Linked DNA regions of Arabidopsis thaliana. The protein of the gene in region 2 interacts with the protein of the main gene of each other region in a pairwise test. Each region holds a gene or a part of one and is shown on either strand. Other genes may lie near its edges.

Region 1 (4,333 bases), on a different chromosome or scaffold from region 2:
TTAAAATGGAATATATACCAACTTTCAAAATAAAAAATCTTCAAAACATATCAATGTGTATATAGCGACACGAGTATAAAGTCCCACACACACAATAAACTAAGGTTGGCAGAAAAAAATATACCACCAAACTAAGTGATCGTAACTACTCTTTCGAAAAAACCAAACCCTAATCTTGTTTTAAGACTAAGACCAATTATACTAAAAAGGAAAGATTTCATAATTGGAAGGAAAGTAGTATACTTTGATAGTTATTAAAAATAAAAATAAAATGTTCAAAAGATTTGGCTATAGTGGTTGCTTTGGTGAACTCCACTCCAACGGTGGTTTGCACCATCTCCATTCCCATCACTACCAAAAACCCACACTTCTTTTTTTTTTTCTTTCTTTGCGTAATGTGGGTTAAAAGGAACTTTATTTATGCTCTTGTTTTTGGGTGTTTGAATCGAATTTGAAATCAACATTTGTTTTTATTTTATTTTATTTATAAAAAATTTGTGTGTTTGGAAAGTTGTAAAAGGTTCAAGGGGTTTCGGTAGAGATAATCTTAATTTGGTTTTTAACACATCGACTTAATCCAAATTGACATCTCTAATAGGATTCAGATATTATTATATCTATCCTGTAATTTTCCATAAAATGTAATCAATATGAGATTTGGTATTAGGGTATGAACTTAATGTATCTTATCGGAAAAATGTTTTCTCCTTTGGGTTACCTAATCTCATATCTAATGCCAAAAATAGCATAACATAGAAGATTGGCTAGATCATATGTGGACATCACCGACTGCATGGCAATGTTTGTTTTATAATCGCGTAATACTTGTTTGTCATTTGCCAGTTCTCATAACAAATGCGAAAATAATCTTATATATCCTTGGTAATGCATGTAAAAATTAATTTTGCTTCATGAATTATTTTATATTCTTAAATTCATGACTGAATGAAATTTCTTATCTATATTCAGACGCAGTATATGGGACATCTAACTCAATTTTAAGATTCTAGATTGGATGATTTTATGTTGTTTGACAAAAAAAATAAAAAAATTGGATGCTTTCTATAAATTTCATGCTTTGTATTTTATTAAATTTTGAGCTATTATTGTATTAGTATAGAATTGAGCTATTATTGGATTGTTCTTATCACTTTGTTAATTTCATTTGGTCCTTTAGTTAGATATCAAAATTTTTAAAATTTTCAAAAAAGATCACAGGTTTAATCGGTGACTTTCAATAATACTAGTTTTAACACGACAAGCAAAATATTGTGCATGTATACTATTAAATTGTTAATGTTAGTACTATGAAATAACAAATTCATCACCATTGTAAAACTTAATGTTTCAACATTTCCTAAGAAGAAATGGTCAACCCTTTTGACAAGACAAGCTAAATTGGCATGGACAAGGAACACAGCATCATGATATAACCCTTCACAATAATTATAATAAAAACAATCAAATTTGTATTGAATAATGCGAAACAGACCTGACTTATCAATATGTGACGAAGGATAAGCCCACGCCAAAAACATCCACGTAAAGAACTCATTGATTAGGTCCAAAGAAATTTGGAGAAAATAAAACAAATCCTGACGTGAAAATAAAAAGAAATCATCACTTTTTTTTATCTCTTTTATTTTCTTCTAAATACAAAAATTGAATAATCAATTAATTTTTCATGTATGCAAACAATTTCTTAACAAGTCTTGTGAGCTTTAAATGAAATATAGAGGCGAGTGGATTAGACTTGATCCTGATCTTTTATTAAGCTGATCCATATTTTACATTGAAATAAAGGACACACCGTTTAACACGAAAATGAAGAGACAAATAAAGAAGAGGAAAAGCATTGATTCTGAAATACCAATATAGTATCATTCGTGAAAGAAGATTTTGTAATATTCCACAAACTTAGAAATTAGGGGAAAAGAAAACAAAAAAAAAAGATAGGAAAAAAGAGCTTTAACTTTTGGAATTGGAAGAAGCACAAACACACACAAAAAAAAAGTCTCTGTTTTACCTTTTAACCCCTTCAAGAATCCTCCTTTAAGTTCAGTGCCCTCTTACTTTTCTCTTATCGGAATATCTCTCTTCCTCTGTTTCTTCGCCATTCTCTCAGCTTTTCTCCTTCTTCTTCGTCTTTGTCAGGTAAAGAGATACGATGAGCATATCCCACATACCTCTCTCCTCTTCTCATCTTTTTAGTTTCTCGAAAGTTTGCATGCGCCGACTTTGTTATAGGTTATAAACTTTAGTTTTAAGCCTATTTTCGTATGTTTATGGTTGTTGTAATAGTTGAGAATTCAGAGTATGTCAAGTGAAACTTAAAAAGAATTCTATATGTATGTGTGTATGTGTTAAAGAGTGAATGGAGCTGTGGACAGAAGCTAGAGCCTTAAAGGCAAGTCTAAGAGGAGAATCTACTATATCTCTCAAACATCACCAAGTGATTGTGTCGGAAGATTTAAGCCGAACTTCTTCCTTGCCGGAAGATTTCTCCGTTGAGTGTTTCCTCGATTTCTCAGAAGGTCAAAAAGAAGAAGAAGAAGAAGTTGTCTCTGTTTCTTCTTCACAAGAGCAAGAAGAACAAGAACATGATTGTGTCTTTAGTTCACAACCTTGCATCTTTGATCAACTTCCTTCTTTGCCGGTAAATTTCTAAACTTCTTTATACCTTTTCTTTCTCTTCTTATAATCGAAAGATTTTAAGTTATATTTTTCTTGATTTCTTTTTTTTTGGGATATTTTTAGGATGAAGATGTGGAAGAGCTTGAATGGGTATCTCGTGTTGTGGATGATTGTTCATCACCAGAAGTTTCACTTCTCTTAACACAAACACATAAAACCAAACCAAGCTTCTCAAGAATTCCGGTTAAACCAAGAACCAAACGGTCTCGGAACAGTTTAACCGGTAGTCGTGTTTGGCCACTCGTTTCAACCAATCATCAACATGCAGCAACAGAGCAGTTGAGGAAGAAGAAACAAGAAACTGTCCTTGTGTTTCAACGAAGATGCAGCCATTGTGGCACAAACAACACACCACAGTGGAGAACCGGTCCGGTCGGTCCAAAAACCTTATGTAATGCATGTGGAGTCCGGTTTAAGTCTGGTAGGCTCTGCCCGGAATACAGACCGGCGGATAGTCCGACGTTCTCGAATGAGATTCACTCAAATCTTCATAGGAAGGTTCTGGAATTAAGAAAGAGTAAAGAGTTGGGTGAAGAAACAGGTGAAGCTAGTACTAAATCAGACCCAGTCAAATTTGGCAGCAAGTGGTAGATAAGACTTAGGTAAAACCTACTTTTTGTAACATTATCTGTAGTGTTGTAATTTAACAACTTGCTTCTTAACATTTTGAAACTGTTTCAGGAACTAGTCTTAAGTAAACAATGGTTTTCTATAAACAAAATTAATGTGTGTTTTTAATGATGTAAGACCACCACCACCACTACTAGTACTTGGAATGATTTTGGTCCATGTGTAGTGGCTTAAATAGACTTTTTGAGTAAACAAAATGCCAAATGGAAGAATCATCTTGAAAACTCCAACATTACTATATAGTATATATATTATTGATAAATCTTGAGATTCGACATATTTATTTGATAATCGATGCAAGCATAATTAATTTAGACATTTATTCAGCAAAAAAAAAAATTAGGTATGTAATTAATTTATACATATCGAATTACTAAAGGTTAATTTTCAGGCTAATCGTAGATAAACGATTTCGTTAAATCCCCATGAAAGTAAATTTAGGCAAATGTATGATGCTATGTCTGCCGCATAATTGTTTAATCTCACCATTTGCATATCAATCTTTAAGGGAAACATCCTTTTAATGTGTTTATGTGGCCTTGTCTCCGTTTTATTGCTACTTTGTGTCATACTCAAAATAAGTTGACTATAAAGCTACATGTATCTACACAAAAAGAGAGTTTATTTAGTATGCTTGCTTGGGAATAAGCAGGAGACAAAAGAAAACATCCAAGTTAAAACATGAAGCAGCAAAAGAGAGTGTTCATCCACAAAATGTGAGAGGTTTCTTAGCATATAAAGATATTGATATAAATCTAATCATTCTCGTAAGAACAAGAACAAAATGAAAGAGCCAAAAACTAAACCCATCTTTCACTTTTTAGATACGAGAAGTGCCACGATCTTTTGAAGATCTTCCTGATTTTGCTTTGCAACCTTTGTAATCTCATCAAGCCGGTGCATGTAGAGAGCATTTTTGGCACTCATCTCTTTCTTAAACTCATGGATAACCACACTCTTCTTGTTTATCTCCAACCACAAGTCGGCTAGGCTTCTATCCGTTTTAGAG
Region 2 (3,506 bases):
ACACTAATAATGTTTGCAAGCTTCACAATTAAATTATATTCAGACTGCTATTTATTGTTTGTCTTGTGATGACTCCTTCACTCTCCTCTTGGCCTTTATCTCCTGATTCTATTAGTAGTGAAGATTATGTGGTTCTTTCCGGTTTAAGGATATGAGAGCTCAATAAAACTTTGAGAGTCTCCTCTGTCCTTTTAGTGTTCAGAAGTTTTGGTAAAAGGTGAAGACTTTTAGAATTGATGAAAAGGAAAAATGTAGAGTCTCTTCCCACTGGTGCTAACTTCAAATATCTGAATTGATCTTAGTGGATGTTCAAAGTTGAAGAGTTTTCCAGATATCTCAAGCAACATCTCATGTCTCTGTCTAAACCAAACAGGGATCGAGGAAGTTCCTTTGTGGATTGAGAACTTTGTTAGGCTCACATACCTAACTATGGTGGAGTGTAAAAAGTTGAAATATGTGTCCCTAAATATGGAGTGATAATATGGACTCTGAAGCTTTAAGTTAGGACACTGTTCTTCTATTATCCTTAATCCTTTTTGTGCTTTTCTTAAAATAAGTGATTTGGTTTGATATTTTCACGAAGCTATATACCAAATAATTGATAACTTTTTGATGCGGTGGAATATATATTCACTTGATAAATTGGACGTTCACATAGTAAAATATAGCTTGATACAAGAAAACATTATGCGTTATGCAATACTTAGCAAAATAAAACATCCACAACAAACATATTAAAATTCTTGAAGATGAAAAAACAGTTTCACACTCTCTTGACATGAGCTTTGTTATCAGAGAAACATCGAGTTGTTGATAAGAAGGTTGTTGTTGGTAATATCACTCGTGAACAGGTTCTGATCATAACCACAAGGAACATGCGGCATCAACCCATAGTTGTTGTTCACAGATTCTTGTACCACAGGAGCAGAGTGATCTTGTGTGTTTGAGACAAAAGAATGTTGAAAGTTGTTGTTGTTCATAAACATGTTCTGATCATAACCACAAAGCTCCTGTTGCATCAAGCCAGATTCGTCTTGTAGTAAGGCTGAGAAATCTTGATTGAGATTTGATGCAGAGAGTGGGATTTGAGAGAGCGTAGCATCTCCATGGTTACTCATGCACATGTTCTGCTCATAACCACAAAGATCCTGCTTCATTATCTGACTCTTCAACTCAGATTGTTCAAGTAACGCTGAGAAATAATCCTGATTGAAATTTGATGCAGAGACTGGGATCTGAGACAGAGTATTGTCTCCATGGTTATACATAAACAGCGAAAACTGGCTAGGGTTCAAAGATTGGGTCTGATGATTCAGAGAGGATGATGCTAAACTCTGATGATCCGGTTTTGTCTCCTTGTGTTTCTGCGACTCAACAAAACGAATCCTTTCTCGGACTTTAGAGACATGAGGTTCTAAGGACTGAATCAGTTGAGAAACTTGGTCGGGAGAGTAATGATCAGCGAGTGGATACTTTAAAATATTCACGTTCTTCAGACAAGTCTTCAAGTCATCATTGTCCGTTATCTTTGCTTTCTTCTCCAAGTTCGTCTTGTCCTTCTTCTTGTTCAGGAAGTCATAAAGAGTAACACTTTTCTTCCTTCTCAAGGCTTCGTTTAATTGACTATACCTGAGAGCGATGTCTTCCACTTTCTCTCGCTCCGGAGGCCATGTCTTGAGTTCTCCGTCTGGTCCGTAATAGATGACGCATGCTTCGATATCACAGAGAGTGCAAAGCTCTGAAGCTTTCTTGAAGATGGTCTCAAGTCTATTGCTTAGACTCGTTGAAGCGAGTGAATAAGAAGAAGAAGAAGAAGAAGAGGAACAGCGAGAGGAAGAAGGTAAAGATCGAATGGCCATCTTCTTGTTGATTATCTCTCTGTTTTTTTGTTTCTAGTAATTGAAAGCACGAAGACGAATGAAATTGAGAGAGTGAAACTACGAATTAGGTTTAGGAAACCCTAAGAAGATGATGAAGAATATGAAAGTGAGTGAGACAACTTTGTGAAATAGAAAATTTGGTCCTTAGGGTTAGAAAAAAATGCGTTTTTATTTTAGTTTTGTCACTCTTCTAATCGGTAAAACAAAAATCTTGTGAAGATTTGATTTCGATATCTTTGCATAGATTTTGTGTAATTTAGCCGTTAAGGATTGATAAAAAGGAAATAGTTAGTTTTTTCCTTTTCTTTCACTCTCTCTTAATTAATAAGAAGATCTACTATAAAAAGGAAAGATTTGCTTGTCCATATAGATTTGCGAGTCAACGCTCCGGTCAAGTTGTTAAAGTAGTTATACTCATTGTTGCTCAAAAACAGAGCATCCCCTGTTTCATTGTTTCTCAGAAACAGAGCATCCCCTGTTCCGTTGTTTCTGGCTGTGTTGTACGGGACTCCGACCATATGAGACGCGAAGTAAGAAGCAGCTGATTCTGTGCAGCTTGAGAGAAAGAATTAGGTTTTATCTTGTTGATATGTGGCTGAGAAAGCTAAGAGAGTTGCAGTGTTGTGTGACTGTGAGTTGTATTGGTTGTGAAAAGATAGATAAGCGGAGTTAGGGCGGAAATGTAACTAGTAAAGAAGTTTATGCTGCGTTTGGGTTGTGAGAGAATGAATAAGAGTTTATGCTCTAATCATCAGTGGAACTCTTGAGATTAAGGAGATGCTCTGCTTATTGTGAAGTCGTTGTTGAACTTTCAGAGAGTGATTATGATTGATACACATGAGTTTGTAACACTTAAAATGTGCAGATCCATTTTGGAAAGTTTAGTATTGGGATTTGATGTAAGATAAGGATAGTACAGTAACATGTGTATTTTTACTGTGTAAATAGTGACAAAAAATATCACTTAATTATTGAGTCTTCATGTGTATATGTTGATATAAGCGATAATAAATTCTTCAAATAAAGAATATCATATATATATGCACAGCCATAATTGAACCGATGGTTTTGGAGGAAGACAGCGAGATATAAGACGCATATGGCTCAATTGCTCAAGCGGCACAATCAAACTTTACATGTGACAAGCGTCTGAGATAAGTCCTTTACATGCTACAAACTCTACAGACAGAAGCATAAGAATTAAACAGGCAACTTTGAGGAAGCTCAAAAGAGCAATGCAATACAGTAGCAACTAGCAAGTAACAAGCAAAGCAATCAAGCTAGAGTTGTTGAACATTTTTGGTGATAGCACATACATGTACTTTACGAAGATAATCTTTTCTATTAAGTAACATCAAGTTAGAATTTGTATCAAGCACCCGATCAGAAGACATCACTAATGATCACTTTCATTACTTCAAGAATCCCCATTTTCCACAAGCACTAAAACCACACTACGCATAAAATCTAACTATTGACAGGCAAATTCCTGAAAATGACGATGGTGTAATAAGAGATGATAATAAATTCTTCAAACAAAACATATCCTCGAATTCAAAATCTTCAAACGCAACTAAAATGTGAAAACAAAAACTGAGTGTTTTAGTCTGAAAATAAATAAGTAAA

Evidence for each region.
Region 1: the proteins of AGL81 (region 2) and GATA3 interact in a two-hybrid assay, tested with the Arabidopsis thaliana proteins (one large-scale study listed by BioGRID).

Annotation. Positions count from the first base shown.
Region 1 is NC_003075.7:16,551,326-16,555,658, forward strand, and holds GATA3 (GATA transcription factor 3), read left to right. Parts: upstream 1-1,819; 5' UTR 1,820-2,154; exon of another isoform or gene 2,155-2,369; 5' UTR 2,370-2,374; coding exon 2,375-2,656; intron 2,657-2,757; coding exon 2,758-3,285; 3' UTR 3,286-3,547; downstream 3,548-4,333. Other genes in the region: AT4G34690 (uncharacterized protein), read right to left, coding at 4,138-4,333. UniProt on the Arabidopsis thaliana protein: Transcriptional activator that specifically binds 5'-GATA-3' or 5'-GAT-3' motifs within gene promoters. May be involved in the regulation of some light-responsive genes.
Region 2 is NC_003076.8:15,905,228-15,908,733, reverse strand, and holds AGL81 (AGAMOUS-like 81), read right to left. Parts: upstream 1,860-3,506; coding exon 792-1,859; downstream 1-791. UniProt on the Arabidopsis thaliana protein: Probable transcription factor that may function in the maintenance of the proper function of the central cell in pollen tube attraction.